Linked DNA regions of Schizosaccharomyces pombe. The protein of the gene in region 2 interacts with the protein of the main gene of each other region in a pairwise test. Each region holds a gene or a part of one and is shown on either strand. Other genes may lie near its edges.

Region 1 (3,431 bases), on a different chromosome or scaffold from region 2:
AGTAATATTTATCCATTATAATAATAAAAAATAATACTTAGAAAAAATACTAACGGATTTCACTATTATAAAACTGTGTAAAATAATATCTATGATTTGTACAACAAAATTAAAATAAGTAGTAAACTGGTAGAAATAATACCATTCAATTATTAGGGAAATTGAAAGAACTTAAGAAGGAGGGCTAACAAAAGTCTAACAAGAAATTGGCCCCTTGGTAGATTTTCCCCAATATTTTTTCGCCAAGGGAATGCTTCTTTTTTAGAGCAATAAATTCTTAGTTTTATGGTGGCATAGCTGAATTTGTAAGACACTTTTTTGCAATAATTAAAGCAATTTTGACTCTCCTTCTCTCTCAATACACTATTTACAAAATCATCATATAGATTCAAAGTTAAGTACAAGAAGCAAACAAACCTTTTAACAAAATGGATAAGTGTTTGAATATAAAGTAAATAATTACCAGAATTGTCACATTTAAAAGCACCGAAAGAATCCTCATTGCTAATTTGAATACTGTATTACGATTATGCAAACAATTGAAGAGAAGGGACACCAACGCTCGTTTTTTCAATATTATTATGTAAAAGGAAAACTAAACGATTTTTGATTAGACAGTCTCTCCCATCTCATTCCTCGACCACTTTTTAGCTCACATGCTTTTACCTACAGAAAAGCAGATAAGACATCTGCAACTCATCAGCACTCCTACATTCGAAAATTATCCACCCATTCAATAAGGTCGTTTTTTGTACTTCCGCTGTAATGATAATACAATACTATTGAAAAGTAATGTAAAACAAATTAATTCAAATCAACTTTTTTTAAACCCTGGGAATATACACCCAATACGCACAAATATATGTATATTGCTAATTAATAATTCCCTTTCTTCAATTATAAGCAAATTAGCTATGCAGCATGGACCTTTTAAACTCCAAAGTTATTTTGTAAACAAAGAGCGTTTTTATCATTTAAACACTCATGCGAGTTTTGGCGCGAGTGCTACCAGACTTGGAAGAATCTTCATGAGCGCTAAATTCTATAGTTTCCGATCGGGGTAAGTTGAGAACTTGCTTAAAACGAGTACCAATTTCCATAAGCACTTCACGATTGTTGCAACTCTTGGTCCAAACTGCTAGACGGTAAAATCCTTTACGCATGTTAATAACTACACCCATTACTTCTTGGCCTGTAGGATCGAGAGTTTCACCGATGGCCGCGAGAACCTAGCGATATATTAGCTGCGAACCAAAAATTAAAAAGTAAAGAAAAGAGTGAAAAAACTGTTTTTAGTATTCACTTAAAATAAAAATATTACAAAAAACCTTTTTCTCATAGCATTAAAAACAATCAAACCTACCGTAGTTAACCACATCTCATCTAAAGCGTTTCCTCCACGGCCTTTATTCTGAAAAGCCCATTTACCTCCAGTCTTATTATGGACGTCTTCCCATTCTGGACGAACTCCTTCACGGAAAAAAGAATAATCAGACTTAATAGGCAAGCTAGATGCAGGATTGATATTGTTATGGATTCTGAATCGAATGTTAGTAATGTTAAAGCAATTTATAATATCACAATAATGAATAAGCAATTTACTTACCCCCAAAACTCTTCTACGCTATTAAAAGTAATTATGTTCTTTTGCAGTTCATTCCATTCCAAGCCAGGAGTAGGTGGCATTAAAAACCACAAAGTCCATGGTCTAGCAAGAGGATGCTTCAAATTAAAATTTATTTTGTCATCAAAAACCGTCCGCAGAGCTTTTTCTTGCGGTTCTGACACGGTATTTTCGGTCTGTGACTCTTTTGGTGGTTGTTCAGTCTGCATGGTTCTGGCTAGAAAGAATGGACCCCGAGAAATTTTATAGCGATGCGATTGAGTATGTGAAAGCTTACAGAATTTGGCTAATTTAATAGCTATTGGAATGGAGTTCAACCAACTGTAGATGGAATGCTTGGAGGGCTGGGAACTGGTCGTGTATGTAAAAGAAAATTTACCAAGAGAATTATATTTTTAGAAAACGGGTGTAAACGTTCAAAAGACTCAATCTCAACTTACTGTTACATCTCTATCTTTTTTTAAGACTATTTATTTAAATAATTTGTATTATTAACATTCTACAGATTCCTCAAACTGATGTAGTGGGATCACGAACTTTTCTCAATCGTCTCAATTATCGTATAGGAAAAATCGAAAACTTAGTGGCCGCTGATTGTGGTGCAGGTATAGGAAGGGTCACTGAAAATGTGCTTTTGAAGATAGCCTCTCATGTCGATCTTGTGGAACCTGTTGAAAATTTCATATCCACGGCAAAAAAACAGCTTGCAACCAAGCCTTGCTCTTTCATAAATGTCGGATTACAAAATTGGACTCCAGAAAAAAACCGTTATGGTATGTATATCAGTTAGATGCTTTTATTTTGTCCAAGATGAGGCTTAATCTCTAGGATCCACTTCTTTGCTTGTCATCTTAACAAATTTTAACAAATTTAGGGCTGATTTGGAACCAATGGTGTTTGTCCCATCTCACAGATGAGGATTTGATTGCCTATCTTAGCCGCTGTTGTGAAGCAATTCAAGAGAAGGGAGTCATTTGCGTAAAGGTTCGTATCCCATATGTGAGTAGGAAAAAACTGACTTCTTAGGAAAATGTTTCATCTTTTGAGGACACCTTTGATCCTATTGATAGTAGCGTAACACGTTGTGAACAGTCTCTGAAGTCCCTGTTTAAAAAGGCAAACCTAGTAGTTGTAGCAGAAACTCTGCAACATGGCTTTCCTGAAGAATTGTTTCCTGTGAAAATGTATGCACTTGTTCCTCATTCCTCGTAAATTTAAACTTGTTCGAAATTGATGGTTGACAATTGAAATAAGCGCGAGATTCTTACTATTGTTGAAAAAGGGACTACCAAAACCAGCTGAAACAGCTTTGACTTTTACAAAAGTAATAAGAACAAAAAGAATAAATATTTTTATTTTATATGCAAACATAAATTGAAAAAATGAAACGTTATTCTCGTAAATGTGTAGTAAAAATATATCAGTCTGTACCTAGTGAACCAGAACTGCTGGGAACGACTGGTTTTTTTTTCTTCTTCTTCTTACTTTTAACAGAATTAGACCTGACCGTAGAGTTATTAGGAAGAACGATGGTTCCATTCTGTAATTCTTCGGATTGGCCCATTTTTTGAATCTCCTGCGACGCAGAAATAGTAAACATAAGGTCTCTAAGTTGCTCATTAAGATCATTAATTTGAAATTGCATTGAAACGATCTGATCGCTCTTTGTTGTATTTTGCTTTTCCAATGTCTGAATGCGAACCAGCAAATTTTCATTCATACTTTTTTCTTCTTCATAATTATGCTTCAAATGCTCTAATTGAGACGAGACACGCTTAAGCTTGTCGTCTCTTTTCTTTAATTTGGA
Region 2 (5,029 bases):
TATATATAATGGATAAAGGTGATCGCATCTAACATTCTTGGTTTACGAGTTATACACACTTATATATAAATATATATTTTTTTTTGTCGAAACGCAACTTTCAATCCTGCCTTAATTATCACTTTACACAATTAATTCTGTGCTAAAATTTTATAAGATTAATAGGAGTAAACGTGGGTGCATTTATAGAGCCTTTATCTCTGCTGTCTATAGTTTGTTTGATTCATACATAGATTTACCCAAATTCATAGGTGTAAATGTCCAAAAATAATTGTAATCCTTGCAATACGCCTTATCACTTATATGTTTTCATATTACTTTGAAGATAGTTTTGCACTTTGTAAAAAATATACTGGAAAAGATCTAGCGATGTATATTCCCATTTAAACAACTCTTTTATTCTATCGGTTGAAAATACCATCTCTTTTATGACGCTTAGTCAAAGTGAAGCCAATTATTAAAAAAATAAATATGAATTAAGAAAATAATATATATTCCTACAAAAACCCCAATCTCACATCTAAACATTAGGAAAATGTGATTTGATTAGTACGCATTAATTACAAACATAAACGTGAAAAACAACCTTTCATTATTTTTCGGCTAGCAGTATCACTTTGTCTAAAAATTTAGAGATGCTTTCTCTAGTTCGTATATCCAAAAGATAACAGTTTGGCTAGAGTAGAATTCTCGTAAAGAACTAAGTTTTCAACACATTGATTCTCGAAAAGATGTAATTTTTTAAAGAGCACACATCCATAAAAACACATGTTCACAAAAATTTTAGTAAAACATTGCCGGGAAACCAATGACTGTAGATTAGCAGCAACCAAAATTCCAGCAGCTAGCCAAACAATTGATCAGATCCATGCTTTAACATTTATAATACTTTTGAGAAGTGGAATTTTTTTAGTTCTATCTATCATGAACTGTTTTGTCTATACCTTGGTATGACACAAGTTCCCAAAACTGCGTATAACCAAAATACTCATCTTAATCACATACTTTAGACTCATGAACTAAAACATCCGATTAATCCTATTTTATAAACTGACCTAACGACTCCTAAAAATTATCTTCATAAACGGTTAATTAAAAATCCTTCTGTCCCATTTTACGCAGTATCCATTCATCAAATGACGATGTTGCAGTATATTCTGAAAACCACAAGGAGATTCTAAAAAAAGCCATATGTACTAATTAATTCACATATTAAAAATTCCTAAAACAAGGAAAAATCGTTCAAAGGTCTCCGGTTTATATCAGAAATCATAAAGCAAAGTCTATGTTAAGGAGTTTACCGACATTGCAGACGGAATAACAACTGCGCAGAGCATACATGCATACACACCCACTACTATAGTCAAATGAGAAACTTCATCACACCGTCGTGCTAAGGACACTGTTTTTTAATGTGGTGGTCTAGAAGTATCTGGAAATCCATAACCAGTTCGATTTTGATTATAAGCAGATGGAGGAAATCCAGGGGAATATGGGAAAGATGGTTGTTGATATCCGAAACCTGGGGGTGCCGATGGAATAGAAGCTCCAGAGGACAGACCACGGTACAAACCTGGAGGGGCTGAAATTTCCGGAGATTTAACTGCTTTAGGAGCATTCGTAGAAAAGCCGGGAGGCGGAGGGACTGATCGAGTATCAGAAGTCATAAGAGATCGAAAGAAGGAAGAATCATCATTAGAAAAGTTGTGATTACCTAAACCAGGAGGAGGAGCAACTGCAGACGGAGGTGAAAACCCAGAAGGTTGCTTTACCGAGGCAAGGTCTTGATTGGAAGGGTTGACATTAACTTGAGGCATTTGTGACAAAGCAACCTTAGGAGAGCCTGTCGTGCTTGATGCTTGTCTGCCAAGCATAGCTAAGACGCGTTGAAATCCTTCGGCGTCTTTGTCAATTGTAGCAGAACCTATAGTAGGAATAGGAGCAGGAGAAACAACGGTATTTGCAACTCGAGGAGATGGGTTATTTGACATATTTGGTGTAGAAGTCTTAGAAGTTTCAGGGCCAGCCAGTCCGTTAAAAAACTTGCTAAACCTCGAAGAAGTGGTTGTGCTGGGTGCGGCATGTACCATGGATTCAACTGTAAGGGCCGGAGAAGCAAAGCGAGGAGGGGTACCACCAGGTGTACTGACAGAGGGTACGACAGTAGCCATCGCTTGGGCAGCGGAGCGTTTTCCAAACAGAGAATCAACACTAATGCCAGCTCTAGCAGAGGTTGAAGAATTAGAGGCAGCTCTAGAAAGCGAAGCTTTTCCTGAAGGGGCTCCAGTGGTGGAAGTGACGCCGGGTGTTATAACATTACCTGCTCCAGCTTCTCCAGAGGATGCCTTCATCATACGCTTCCATGCTTCAAATTCCTCAGTAGAATTTGCAACAAGTGGGCCAGTATTACCAGCCCTTTGTTTCATCACCTTCTCAAGCCCCTCCATCTCATCACGATGTTCATTGTCTTTCTTGCGATTATGTCGTCCTACACTACTCCATGGTGCAGTAGAACCGGAATGACCAATGGATGACGACCGCGATACAGAAGCGCCATTTCGATAACGGAGAGAGGCTACACCGTTATACACATTTCCCAAAGAAAGCAAATCATCATGGCGACCGACAGACCTGCCATTCTCATTACTGCTAGCAAAACTAAGTTTCGGTGGCCCAAGAATAATATCGTCGTGTTCTAGAAACGTTAGTAAGGATTTCAACAAAGAGACGGAATCTATCGACAATGTCAAGGAAGCAACGTCAAAAACACGAATTCCACATCGACCTCATATCTGATGCAGAAAAAGGTAGAATGGATTCACATTATAATCAATCCTGTAGTAAACAACCATATGACATTTTTGCCGCATCTTTTTGAACGTGCATTGTAAGGATTCATAGTCAATACAGACAATTTTTTATGTTAACAGTCGACAGAAAATAGTAAACAAAATGACTTACTTGATTTAGCGAATTTACGATCTGACTGATATTGTCGTCCATCATCATCATGTCTATACAAAAATTTGTTAGTATAAAATCTCTAAAGAACTTATGAAGTGCAAATAAAGAACTAAAATCAATTTGTGTCGCGAAATTCACAGTATTCATATTTCTGCCCTACCTTTTCATTTCCTTTTCTTGGCGAATGTGCCGTTCACGATCTGCCTTCATAGCCTCCGGACTGTAAAACGTTAGCCAATATTCCATACTTTGGTTCTCGAAGGTGTTTTCATCAACCAAGATTATTTAGCATCCCTAACTTACAGAATCCATTCAGGCAGATTTTCTGGTTTTTTTATGAGCGGCGATTTTGATAGATATAGCAAATCTGCTTCTGAATATTGAATAACCTGCGACATCTTATCGCCTTTTTTGGAACGAGTTAATACCAATTGTGATGGTTTTTTGTGTTATTTTAATATGGTGGTAGTGGTTAAGTTGGCTCCATCTTGCTAGTAATCGCATGCAAGCTTAGTATGTCCTCCATAGTAAGGGTAAAACACTTCAATCTTAGTCGTAACAGGTAACATAGATGCAAGGTAACGATAGGCTTACGAGAGAGGATTCACTATTGTAGAAACTCATCCTAAACCACATATACTCGACAAAGTAGAGAATTGAAGGATCTCACAGATTTATAATGAAGATTGTTCCTGACGTCGAACCAGCTGCTGAAGTATCTGGAAACTTCAAAGTCTCAGTTTTAGAGCCCAGCATTCCAGCTGTACACCGTGTTGAAAATAAACATCCTCTAGAAAGTCGATTAAAGAATTGGGAGGCTCAACAGCAACAAATTCGCCTTGATAGCATGCGTAGAATTTACGGTTTGCATGAGCCTGTGCGTCGTGAAATGGAACAGAAACTCGCTTCACAGGTAGGTTATTAATGTATAGACTAATATAGTGCTATATTTACTTATTGTTGCACTTATATCTTCCCCCTCTTTTTTTTTCTTTAGTTTTACTGACTCAAGCATAGAGCTCTCGTCCTTTGGCTTTAGGAGGATCTGCAAACTTTCATTTAGATATTCTTGCCAATCGTGAGGCTGTCCTAGACGAAACCGACATATATGCTGCCCCTATTCCTTTGGAAATGACTTATCAAAATGAAATGGCCATTAGATATGGTCTCTAAATTTTTATGTGCATGAAACTTCTCTTCCTTCCCTTGACTTCATCTTTTTTTCTTGAACAACAAATTTTTCATACGATGTGCGCGTTCTACGAATGTCAACTCAATCGCAGATATTTTTACATTTATTAGAATTTTAGTCGAGATACGAAATTACAAGTTATCATCGTGCCGCTATTAATGAATTATTATTTCCTTCTCTAACCTTTCAACCCCGCAAATCCCATAATTTTAGTTAGCTAAATTTTAGCAGCCAAAAATTTTTTCTTTTATTCTCTTTTCCCTTTTTACGTGGTCGATACTACGGTATTTTCCTTTGTTTCTTGAAAACTTGGTATGACCATTTGTAGCATAGGGTATATTGCATTGTATTTAACCAACATTGGGCCTCCTCCCAATGCCACAACCTTGAGCAATATTTTTTCGATTAGTGTTCGGATTTCACTGTTGACTACACATGAGTTGTATAAAGTACATATCATTTCAAATACGTGTCGTCGAAGATATATTTTTAAATCCTGATTTGTTTGTAAACCAGCATGTAATAGAGTCAGTAGCCAGTAAACACTTTTGGTGTAATCTGTTGATGGATAAAGTAATTCATAGTACATCGGTATATCTGTAACATCAACATGTTGACGTTGCAGGTAATAACGATTAATTCCTACAAATAATGGATGTGTCGGTTTCATCATGACGGTCAAGCTGAAAGCATAAAAGTTAGCCATTAACGTGCTCAACCGATTTTCTGAAGAAGGTACATTCACAATTATACTAGCAAGTACTAGTTTAATTAAATGCTTTTCTCTAAATTTTTGTTCGTCCAGAATGGGTATAAAATTTCGTAGGAAATTAAGACAAGCAAAGCGTGCTTCTTCTTTAAAAAGAGAAAGCC
Region 3 (7,808 bases), 820 kb from region 2:
AATGATGGTCCTTCTCTTTTTTGTTGTATAAAGTTATCGCAATTTGTTTAAGACCGAGTTTTTTAGTTCACTTTATTCTCTGTAATTATCATGGACTAACAATCCATTTAAATTTAACTATTCTAGTTTTGACATTTGTTCTCTTACTCATATGTAGATTTTGACTGAATTTGTACTTCTGCAAATAGTCGTGGTAACATTTTTAAGTAGTGAATTTACTTTTTAGCGTGCATTTCTTATCTTATCTCTAATAATAATGGAATAAGTAAGTCGAAAAAGTACTTACTTTGCAAAATCAAGAAATAGCAAAAACCAGTCTGTGTAAGAATCAGAAATACAAATAAGACAAAAATTTTATAATACAAAATTTACTCATGTCATTATTATAAATCATGTTAACTAAATATGAATAGTCCTAAGAGTGATTTATGAACCATATGAAAACATCTATTTTGCTTTCTTTTGGTTCGAACTGGATCCTCCTTTGTTCGCATCGTCACGTTGTCTTTTAAGGGAGCCGGATTTAGCAGTGCTTGACAGTTCTTTAGCGTTTTGGGCAGCATTCTTTGAAGTAGCAATTCGTTTGGAAGCTCCAGTTATTGAGAGTTTTCCACTGTCTGGTTTCATAGGAACAGGACGCGAAACAGCGGGTCGTTGAACACCTTTTTGTTTGCCTGTTCCTTGAAGTCTTGCACTCAGAGATTTACCGGAAGGTTCTCTCTTGGCTGACGAAGCTTCTGTAGCATTCTGACCAACATCAGCTTTGCTAGCTGTTGGTTTGGAAGTAACAGGCTTTGTTTCTGTTACAGAAGACGTAGATTCATCAGTCTTTTCAGGATTGGATAGCTGTTTATTCAAATTCTCAATAGTTTCTTCAAGTTGTGTAATTTTGTTCTGAAGATCCCTAGTTTTCTTCTCATACACAGATATTTTAGCTTTGCTCCGAAATTCTGTCTCAGCTACCACCTTCTTCAACTTAACATCAAAGTTGGCAGAATTTTCTTTAAGCTTTTCTTCAACCTGCTGCTTAATCATGTCATCAATATTGTCATGAGTATTTTCCGAAGAATTTTTTTGAGCTTGTTCCTCAAGTTCCTTTATTCTCTGTGACTTTTCGTTGAGTTGATTTTCTAACTCTTCCTTTGTCTTTTCTTTCTCTGCGACGAGTTCAGAGCGAGCAGCCAAAATTTCGGTTTCCTTTTCTTTTTCATAATATTGTTTCGTAGATTCAAGTTGTGAACGTAGCCTTGCAATCTCATCAGCATTCTCTAAACTTCCTTGGGTCGGTGAATGCTCTCGTAAAGCTGCCAATTCCGCACTCAAGTTTTGTACTTGTTGCACAAGTCCTTCTTTGTCAGACCGTAATTCATGAATTTCTTTTTCAAGATTTGAAATTTCAGTTTTACCGTCAGCATCGACAGCCTCAGATTGCAAGTGTTCTAGCTCGTTCTTAGAATCTGCTAGCTCTTTTTCAGTTCTTTCCTTCTCCGACTTGAGTTGTTCAAATTGTTCCTTCGTGATCTGTTCAGCATCACTGGAAGCCGATTCTTGTAATTGATGATTGGAATCCTTTAGAGACTCTATTTCTTTTTGCATTGCTTCATTTTCAGCATTCTTAGAGGTTAACTCCTTGTTTTTGTTGGTCAATTCCTGCTTTAGATGGGCAAATCTTGTTAAGCTGGATTTTTTCAAATTTTCACATTTTTCATTCCAAGCAGCTGCCAATCTAGTATTTTTGGTGTTTGCCTGCTCAACTTCCTTCTTCAAATTTTCCACCTCTTCGTTTAGAGAATTAACCTGTTGCTTAAATGTATCGGTTTCTTTTGCTGTCTCCTGAAGTTTCGTTTCCAACTCTTGTTTTTCTTTTTCTAATGCTTCACAATTTTTCTTTAACTCCTCTAACTGTGTGGGATCAACACGCTCATACTTGTTCAAAACGGACTGAAATCTTAATTTCCATCGAGAATTGTATTCCTTCATTAAGTTCAGACTTGCTGTCTTTGCGCCTATTTCTGCCTTAAGTTCATTTATTTCAGTTTGTAAGGGATTCAATGAAGCATTCAGTTTTTCAACCTCTTTCTCCAGCTCTTGTATTTTTCCAAGTTTAGCATCATTGTCCTTTCTAAGGACACTATTACTTTCATAAAGTAACTGAACTTCTTGACTTCCGCTGATAATGGGGGTATCTGTTTGGTCATTTGACACAGGCAGAGACTGCAGACGGTTGAGCTCGAGTTGCAATGAATCAACGGTGGATTGCAAAGACTTGACTTGTTGATTCAAACCTCTATTATCCAGAATTGTTAACTCATATTTATTATCCATTATTTCCTTTTCGTGCCTCAAGTAGCTAACAAGTTCACGTAAATCGTTATCTTGAACGGCTTCTAAATTGGCAGATATATTTAAATTTTCAGAAGAATTCTGTTGAAGAACAGTTATTTGTTGACTAAGAGAATCAAATTGCGAATGTAGTAGTTTATTTTGATTTTCAAGTCCCAAAATGTAATCTTTCAAGGAGCTAATTTCATCTTCCATGGCTTTCCGCTGAATATTCCAATCCTTTTCAGCACCTGAAAGTCCTGAGTGCTGCTGTTCAAAATTTGCTTTGAGCTTTAAATATTTCGTATTCACCTCGTCAAATTCAGTACGTAAATCCCGCAATTTTTGAGTGGTACGCCCATGACTAACGATCTCTGATTCGTAATTAGAATGACACTCCTTCATTAGAGATCTTTCTTTTTCAATATCTTCTTTCAAAGAGGTAATAACACGATCCGCATCTGAACGAATTTTTTCATAATCTTTTTTGAAAGAAAGTGCACTATCCTTTTCACGAACAGCATCCTCAAGTTGTTTGGCAAGTTCCTTGGACGAAGACTCTTTCTCTTCTTTTAGTACTTCAACTCTCTTATTAAGATCCAACAACTCAGAGCGAAGGGACGTAATTTTCTCTTCCCTTGTGCTAATTTCAGATTCTACTAGATGCTTAAACTGCTCATGGGTTTCATTCATCATTTCCAAGGTTTTTTCTGAAGCGAGGTATTTTTGTTGAATATTACTCTTTTCAAGCTCGGCCATGCGAAGTTTTTCCTTCGTCCTTTCCAGTTCAATAGATATAGCCTCGACTTCAACATTATCAGGATTTTGTGTCGTGTCTTTATTAGCCGCGATTAATTTAGATTGCAAGTTCTCCTGCCGTTCTTCCATAAACTTTAAGCGCTCTTTCAACTCAGTGGTTTGTATTTCTAACTGATTTCGCACGGTGCGTTGCAATGTTATGTCTTGTTTTAACTCAGTGATGTTAGACTGAAGTTGAAGCACCAATGTTTGATGCTCCCTCAAATCAAATGAATTTTGTAGAGTAAGTCTACGAACATCATCGGAACACTCAGATAGCTTTGAATTAGCAACTCGAAGATCATTAGAAAGTTCAAGTATTCGACTATTCATTGAGTCCACTGTTGCCGTATACTCTTGATTTGAAGATTCAATTTGAGCTTTCATATGGAAATTATCCTGCTGCAGGGACGAAAGTTTCGACTCCAAATTAGATAAATCGGCTTTCAACTTATCCTTGACGGAAGTTAAAAGCAGGTTTTCGCTTTTTAAATTATCAACAATATGATTGGATTGTTCAAGCTGGCTATTACAGATTGATAATTGAGAAGAAACATTTTGAACTTCAATTTTCTTAGAAGCAAGTTGCTCTTGTAAAGACTTATAGCTTTCATCAAGTTCATCTTTACTTCTTTCAGATAAAACAAGTGATTTTTCCAGATCATTTAGCTTTTCAAGGGCTAAGCTTCGTTCAGATGTTAAAGAGGTAAGTTGCAATTGAATATTAGATTTTTCGAGCTGGAGAGATGAGATAGCTTCCTCAAACTTTTTTTCTTTGTTACGAGAAATTGACTTAAGGGACTCCAGTTCATTAGTTAGCTGTTCAAGTCGAATAAGCGAACGCTGGTAAGAAGTCTGCTCAATTAAATTAGTATTCAATTTGGAATTAGGAGTTGCAGGCGCCATATCTAAAAGTTTTTCATTCTCTTGAACTAGTGATCTAAAAAAGTCTCGTTCCTTTAAAGAGTAGCGTAACTGATCGCTCACCTCCTCCAACATTTTAGTAAGTTGATCAATAGTTTCGTTAGCTTTTATCAGTGTTTCTTCTTGAATCTCGGCTCCATCAAGATCAGGTTTTTCGTCTTTCTCCATACGATCAGCTAATTCATGAACTGCAGACAGTAGATTTTGATTTTGTTGTTGCAATTCTCTAATATTACGAAATACAACTAGCCTGCTTGAAATTATTTGATCCGTATCAGTTTCATCTTCAGTGAGCGATTTTTCAACATAGGAGTTAATCTTCTTTCTACTATCCACGCCTAGCACTATGCCGTTCTCACACAAATCGAGTTCATGAAGTAAAACTTGCACCTGTCGCGCTAAATCTTTGGTCTCTTGCTCATAATGCTTATTCTCTGTGCATTTATCTTTAAATAGTGTCTCTAATTGCTCGTAACGGGACTTGGCTTTCTGACAGTCTTCCAATGACTTCTGATATTGCTCACTCATTGCAACAATTTCCCGTTGCATATGAGCAAATCGCTTAAACTGTTCTTTAACCAAAGGATGCTGAAGATTCGCTTCTTCCATAACATGGTTATAGCTACGTTGTAACCTTTCAACCTCTTGACATGTTTGCTCATACTTCTGTTTATAGTATAAACGCTCGGAATACAAGTCAGAGACGGAGGACTGACCTTTAAAGCCTTTCATACTATTATTTAGTAAATTTGAGTATTTCAATTCACTCATATCTGAGATTTCTATTTCATCATAATGCCGAAGACGCTCATTAGCCAACTTTAGCTGAGACTCTAAACTTGATACCTCTTTCTCTAGAAAATTGATTTGAGATTTCAAGGAAGCTTCTGCTTCCTTATGAGATTCAAGCTGTTCTTCAAAAGATGATTGTGCAGCTTCCAATAGCTTTTCCAACTCGCCGTTTGAGTTCTGCAACTCTTTGAGCCGTAAAGAGCAATCCTCACATTTCTCCATCCACAACTCACTAATTTGCTTTTGTGAAGAAATCTCTTTTTCAAAAGAAACTTGCGAAAACTCATATTGCTTTCGCATTTCGGAGAGTTCAGCTACAATATTCTGATATCGTAAATTACTTTCTGTAAACTGTTGAGACAAAGAACTCACTTTCCGTTGTAGCGCATCTTTTTCCAAAACAGCGTCAGATAATTGAGAACTTAGTTGAGACTTTTCCAAAGAGGCCTCCTGATGAAGAGATAACAATTTGTCGTTCACACCCTGAAGCTCTCGGCTTAACCAGGTGTTATTATTTTCCAAAATCGAATTTTTCTGCGTTAATTTTTGCAACTCAAACTCATAGTTAGTCTGCAAAGATGCTTTTTCTTGTTGTGTATGTTGAAGCTCCAAAACTTGATGGGTAGAACTGGCAAGGGCATCCTTTAGATCTTTAATGATAGTGATTTTCTTTTCAACTTCCTTTTCTTTATCTGATAAAAGATTTTGAAGTTGAGCAGTTTGCTTCAAATTTTGATCCTGAGCTTGTTTTAATGCCTCATTTACACTTTTGAGAGAACTGCAATCGTGCAAAACAGTGTCATATGAAGAGGATTTCTCCCTAAGATATTCTTTGATTTGAGAGAGTTCATTCTCTAAAAGCTTGCGCTCATCCTCTAATAAATCGTAACGTTCGTTTGATTGAAGTAGTTTCTTCTCCGAATTTCGCAATTGTTGCTCGTAATTGACTTCTGTAACTATACGATCATTTTTTATACTTTCATAATCTTTGCTTTTACTAATTAAAGGTATTAATATGGATGTAAACGCGTCCACCTGAAGTAAAGGATCAATTTTTGTCTTTGGTATGTCTAGAAAACTGCATACCCCGAGTATATCAGCTTCTGTCCAGGAAGAATCGTGCATTGCCTCAAACAAATAGCTTCTAACTATTTTTTCAGTTTAGAGACGCTACCTTTGTTTGAAACACGTTCTTACCTATTATGGTGGTGCAATGTAAGTCGATGGGTGTGTAGCGACGAGGTAGTTGATACCCTAATAAATTCAATTTCAAGTCATAAAACCATTACAATTAAAAATCTATTTAAATTCTTTATTGAGATAACTAATATAAGTCCGTATAATATAATCCATTTGTTTGTGTCACTAGACATAAGCAATATACATTGCCTTACGTCTTCTTACCTAAGCTATAAATCAGCGTTCACTAGGTAAACTACATACTTGTATGGATATACCATATTCTTTTAAAAGATGAATATATAAAAAATGGAAAAGAATTTAAAGCTAATTTTCCTGAGGCATAACAGTTCAAAGATGTAACTTTTTAGGGGAGATCAAAATTAAAAAAATTTGTCATCATCGTGTATGTGACAATATTATAAAACAAGCTTGCTCCCTCAACGTCCCGGTACTCGAGAGTTAACGGATTTTAGAGCATCAGTCGCTGGTTTCTTGGCAGAAGAGTCCATAGCAGGAGTATTCAGCGCACTTCGATTGAGTCCGATATGGGATTTAACTAAATGGCCACTAGCAAGTGCGGAACACAAAGACAGTTCACCAGCCATTACGGCGGCTGCAACGACACGTGCTAGTTGACGAGAATTATCACCGGGAGAGGTCATATGGGCACCTCGCACACCGAGCAAGTCAAGCATAGCACCTTGCGGTTCCAAAACCGTTCCACCACCAATTGTTCCAACTTCAATGGATGGCATTGACACGCTAAGCTGAAGGTTACCATCAACATTATCCATCAAAGTTATACAATTACTGCTTTCAACATTTTGGGCAGGGTCTTGACCAGTTGCTAAATATACTGCCGTGACAATGTTAGCAGCATGAGCATTAAATCCTCCAACGCTGCCAGCCATAGCACTACCAATGAGGTTTTTGTCAACATTTAATTTAACCAAATCTTCAACAGTAGTTTTCAATACCGATTTGACAGCATCACCAGGAATAATAGCTTCAGCAATAACACTTTTACCACGACCATCAATCCAATTAATAGCAGCAGGCTTCTTATCTGTACAATAATTCCCTGATACACTGATCACTTGCATGTCATCAAAACCAGCGTCATTGCTCATTACTACAAGTGCATGCTCAACACCTTTGGAAATCATATTCATACCCATAGCATCACCGGTAGACGTACAGAAACGGATGAAAAGACGAGTACCAGCTAGAGCAGTCTTAATATGTTGAAGTCTAGCAAAACGGCTAGTAGAGTTAAAAGCCTTCTTCATAACCTCTTGGCCTTCAGGGCTATCCAACCAAATTTTAGCACGACCAGCGCGCGTCAAATTCGGGAAAGCCACACATGGTCCACGGGACATTTGATCACGAGTCAATACAGTAACAGCACCACCACCAGCGTTAATAGCTTTGCATCCACGCATAGTAGAAGCAACCAATGCACCCTCAGTAGTAGCCATAGGGATATAAAAAGGCTTACCGTCAATAATGAGAGGACCAGCTACACCAAGGGGCAAGGGCATGTAACCTATAACGTTTTCACAACATGCATTCAAAACCCTAGAGTAATCGTAATGATAGACGGGGCAATTAGAGCTTTCAAGTGTCTTCGTCCTAGATGAACGGGAGACGACCGTTCGGCGAATTACAACAGCTCTGGTAACGTCTTTAAGTACTCGTTCTAAAGCATAAAGAGGGATTTTTTTAGCTAAGGTTAACTGCACAACTTCTTCATCATTTAAAGTTGAAATTTGACCATTGTTGTAAAGAGT
Region 4 (3,765 bases), on a different chromosome or scaffold from region 2:
TGCTAATTGCTGATTAACCAAATGATGAAGTTAGTGCTGAGCTTTATTTGTTTAAAAAACTTTGAGTATAAGCGAAGCGATAGATTTGGAATTGAAGTGGTGCACTGATACTCGACAATATTCCGTACAGTACATTGAAAAGTCTGATTGTAGATACTTCTTCACCAGATATCTAATTCTAAGCATACAGAAGTTGCAAGTAAATTTCCCCACTTTTCCCAGTACTCATTAAGCGCTGCATTAATTCGATTAAAAGGGCTATCTTCTTAATTAATGTTATCCGATTTCGACAATGATAAGAAGAAATGAAGGTCGCCTATTATTTCGAAATTTTAGTTTGATTCAAACATTCATGGATCCTTAGCGATAAAGGTTAGTTCCAACATTACATTAGATCCTCGGAAATAGTAAAATCATAGTAGACATTATTCAGCTTGAAATAAGCTAGCGATAAATGTTTAATATACAGGCGGTTATGAATAATAGGAAGATTTGGCGATCTAGCATATTTACATTCTTGATAGAATTTTAATATTTATAACGTAAGAGAAGGGTCAAATATAGATTATATCCATTAGCCTATTAAAATGCTCAACAAATATAACAAATTAAACTATTCATACGAATACACTAACTGTAAAGAGGCATCTATCTCATCTCAATAAGCTTGGTATTTTAGAGGTCTCAAAAACAAGAGGGCAATGATTGCAATAACATATTGTCATTCGTAAATGAACACCCCTATAATTTACCAAGCCTTAGAAAGTAAAAATAAAAACTTGAAACTTGATATCATTAAAGACTCATACGGGTTTTTGCTCGCATACTACCAGCCTTTGATGAATCCTCATGAGCACTATATTCTATAGTCTCTTTATCAGAAATCCCTAAAACTTCTTTAAAGCGCAGGCTACATGTTTGTTAGTCCAGTCAACTACCAACACGTTACTCTTAAAACTTCACATACCCGATTTTTTCCAAAACATCTTTGTCATTACAATTTCGTGTCCATACAGCGATTCTATAGAATCCTTTCCTCATATTGCAAACTACACCAGTAACTTCTTTCCCAGTAGGGTCTAATGTTTCTCCAATGGCTGCCAGCACCTATTTCCATACGTTAATACTTTCAACTTAAAAATTAACATTCTGTAAAGTCGATATCACAGCAGTTAAAATGAACAGACCATGACTTACCATATACAGCCACAACTCGTCGAGATTTGAACCTTTGTGCTTGCTTTGGTAGGCCCATTTCCCACCATTCATGTTTTGAGGATCCTCCCATTCAGGACGAATACCTTTCAAAAAGTAAGAGTAGTCCGATTTGGCGGGAAGCATCGAAGCTTTTGAGATCGTCTTAAAGATGCCCCAAAACTCTTCCACTGTCTTGAAGGAAATAATCTCTTTAAGAAGATCACTCCATTCAAGACCTTGTGTAGGTGGTTTCAAAAACCACAATGTCCATTCATGCTGAAGGGGGTGTGTTTTTACAAATGCAGTTTCAGCATTAACAGCCGATAGACCTTCAAGAAGGCGCGCTGGACGTCCCTCTCTTTCAGTTTTAACTTTTGGTGACCCAAATAAATCCAATAGATCTAGTTTTTCTGTGATTAAGGAAGTGTTGGGAAAACCCTCATTTTTTGAGTGACGCGAGTCTTCTGCATCTGCCATTTGCTTTTTTTAAAAAAACAAAAATATTAAAAGAGCTTAAAACGTTTTTATAATAGGCAGTTTGTAAACTAGGCTGGATGCTGAAAAGATGCGGTGGTCGTAATTGGGTTACGAGATCCAAGCAAAAGCAACTTTCAACACACTGTTCCTGTAAAATATAATTGTACATTCATACCTTAAATATTGGCTAAGTATATATAAAAAGTCAATAATCAGCCTTAAAGCTTTACAGTAAATTATTTGTTTGATTGGAAATGCACGAGTATAATCAAATTTCACACAGCTTTTTATCTGCATACTATTATAATTCGTGAAATCAAATTTGTTCCCCTTACGTGTCAAATTGTTAAAAATCATTTTGTAATTACAAAGATGCATAAAGCTATGTTGTATATCTAAGAATCATTTAAATCTCAAAAACAATGTTGCAAAATGTAGAACCTTTCTCCATTTCAATCAAAAAACAGCTTGATCTAGTACTACAAAAACACCACCAGTTAAATGCAGACTTCCGGTGACACAAACAAAAGTATTCCTGGATTTTTGCTTAATTGACATCACTGTCTCAATAGCTTCTTGGATGGTAGGGGCTACTGTTGCTTCACTAGTCGTGCCCTTCGATTCTTTCCACCATTTACATAAATCCTCTTGTACATGCAAAACGGGCTTATTATCAGTAATGGTATTAATGCTTAACAGCTCTGGATTATAGCCTGCATCCTTCCAGGTGACATTGGTTGAGAATATAACATGCGTAAACGAAATCCCAGTTCCCGAGCTTTCCAATCCTTTTAAGAAGGACCTAAGTAAAGCAATTGGATCATCCCTGCTTTGCTGGTTAAACAGAAGAATACGGGCATCTGCATCCTCATAAAGATTCTTCTTGGATGCGAGCCAAAGTCCAGTGGCCTCCAAACTTTCCTTGGTGTGGGCTCCATCAAAACACCATTTTATGTTGTTGATTTCCTCAATTTGGCATCTTCCAGGCCATTTTACATACTTGAGGCCGTCCAAAATTGCTGGATCCTGATATGGATCTCTATCAAAAGGGCACCCGGCCTTTTCATAGAATTCTTGGACTAAAGAAACTGCAAGGGATGTATTTCCAAGCTGATGAACTCCTGAAAGACCAATCATATCCGGCGTTAATTCAGCAGGAGGTATGACTACCTTAAGTGATGTATTTCGTTCAGCAGCACGGTTTTTTAAAACATTCATAGCCTCGGGAGCTTGCTCGCAAGTTAAGGCAATAGCTGATTCTTTGTAGATTCCAGCTTTCTGCCAAGCAATTTCTGCTATTGTGTTCCCCAACAAAGACGTGTGGTCAAGACCTAAGCTTGTAACTGCTGTGGCATATGGTTTTTCAATTAAGTTTGTAGAATCGTATTCACCACCAATCCCAACTTCAATGATAGCGGCATCGACATTCTCTGAAATGAAAACGTGCCATGCCATTAGTGTCAAGAATCGGAAATACATTGGCTTTTCCGAATCACTACCGACAGCATTCTCTAGGCGCTCCCATACATCAAAAAAATATTTAGTAAACAACTCTTGACTGATAGGTTTGCCATTTAATTGAATACGTTCACAGACAGATCGGAGGTGAGGAGAAGTGTACATACCAATGCATTTTGGAATCGACCTTTCTCCACTCTTCTGTATTTGCTGTAATATTGAGGATGTAAATGCACATGTAGAACCCTTTCCTTTAGTTCCAGCAACATGGATGACATTTAGTCGGTTCAAATCTGATGGCTGAGATTTATTAGTTAGTAAAAGTTGCATGACAGTATAGAACTATTAACAAAAAGATTTCGTAAAGAGATACAGGCTAAACCAGCCAAGTCAACAATTCCTATTGATATTTCCCTTTATAGACATGATGTGCTGTCCTTTCAATGAGATTATTATTATTAAAAATAAGGTGAAGTTAAAGAAAGGATCACAATCGAGTACTATAAAGGACATACAAATACTTGTTTCAATCTCGTTTAATCATATGCAGCGGCTTAAAATATTTGAGTGCTATTCTTTTGTAATTCCTAATTATAAGTAGTAACTTACCTGATATCCAATGCATCTAAGCCA

The links.
Region 1: the proteins of eap1 (region 2) and tif45 interact in a two-hybrid assay, tested with the Schizosaccharomyces pombe proteins (one large-scale study listed by BioGRID).
Region 3: the proteins of eap1 (region 2) and nup211 interact in a two-hybrid assay, tested with the Schizosaccharomyces pombe proteins (one large-scale study listed by BioGRID).
Region 4: the proteins of eap1 (region 2) and tif452 interact in a two-hybrid assay, tested with the Schizosaccharomyces pombe proteins (one large-scale study listed by BioGRID).

What each region holds. Positions count from the first base shown.
Region 1 is NC_003424.3:3,526,561-3,529,991, reverse strand, and holds tif45 (translation initiation factor eIF4E tif45), read right to left. Parts: upstream 1,840-3,431; 5' UTR 1,834-1,839; coding exon 1,607-1,833; intron 1,539-1,606; coding exon 1,364-1,538; intron 1,230-1,363; coding exon 975-1,229; 3' UTR 546-974; downstream 1-545. Other genes in the region: AdoMet-dependent proline dimethyltransferase tae1, read left to right, coding at 1,851-1,885, 1,923-1,983, 2,130-2,397, 2,499-2,608, 2,651-2,836; SPOM_SPAC16E8.13 (ubiquitin-protein ligase E3), read right to left, coding at 3,045-3,431. UniProt on the Schizosaccharomyces pombe protein: Recognizes and binds the 7-methylguanosine-containing mRNA cap during an early step in the initiation of protein synthesis and facilitates ribosome binding by inducing the unwinding of the mRNAs secondary structures.
Region 2 is NC_003421.2:747,145-752,173, reverse strand, and holds eap1 (eIF4E-associated protein Eap1), read right to left. Parts: upstream 3,444-5,029; 5' UTR 3,363-3,443; coding exon 3,268-3,362; intron 3,220-3,267; exon of another isoform or gene 3,185-3,219; coding exon 3,125-3,184; exon of another isoform or gene 3,015-3,124; coding exon 2,962-3,014; intron 2,883-2,961; exon of another isoform or gene 2,696-2,882; coding exon 1,410-2,695; 3' UTR 531-1,409; downstream 1-530. Other genes in the region: proteasome maturation factor Ump1, read left to right, coding at 3,644-3,877, 3,982-4,137; ribosome biogenesis protein Urb1, read right to left, coding at 4,422-5,029.
Region 3 is NC_003421.2:1,563,795-1,571,602, reverse strand, and holds nup211 (nucleoporin nup211), read right to left. Parts: upstream 6,054-7,808; 5' UTR 5,962-6,053; coding exon 448-5,961; 3' UTR 353-447; downstream 1-352. Other genes in the region: 3-hydroxy-3-methylglutaryl-CoA reductase Hmg1, read right to left, coding at 6,456-7,808. UniProt on the Schizosaccharomyces pombe protein: Functions as a component of the nuclear pore complex (NPC).
Region 4 is NC_003423.3:1,132,408-1,136,172, reverse strand, and holds tif452 (translation initiation factor eIF4E, 4F complex E subunit isoform 2, stress response factor), read right to left. Parts: upstream 1,780-3,765; 5' UTR 1,675-1,779; coding exon 1,198-1,674; exon of another isoform or gene 1,108-1,197; coding exon 968-1,107; exon of another isoform or gene 911-967; coding exon 796-910; 3' UTR 554-795; downstream 1-553. Other genes in the region: met7 (putative folylpolyglutamate synthase), read right to left, coding at 2,131-3,432, 3,742-3,765. UniProt on the Schizosaccharomyces pombe protein: Recognizes and binds the 7-methylguanosine-containing mRNA cap during an early step in the initiation of protein synthesis and facilitates ribosome binding by inducing the unwinding of the mRNAs secondary structures.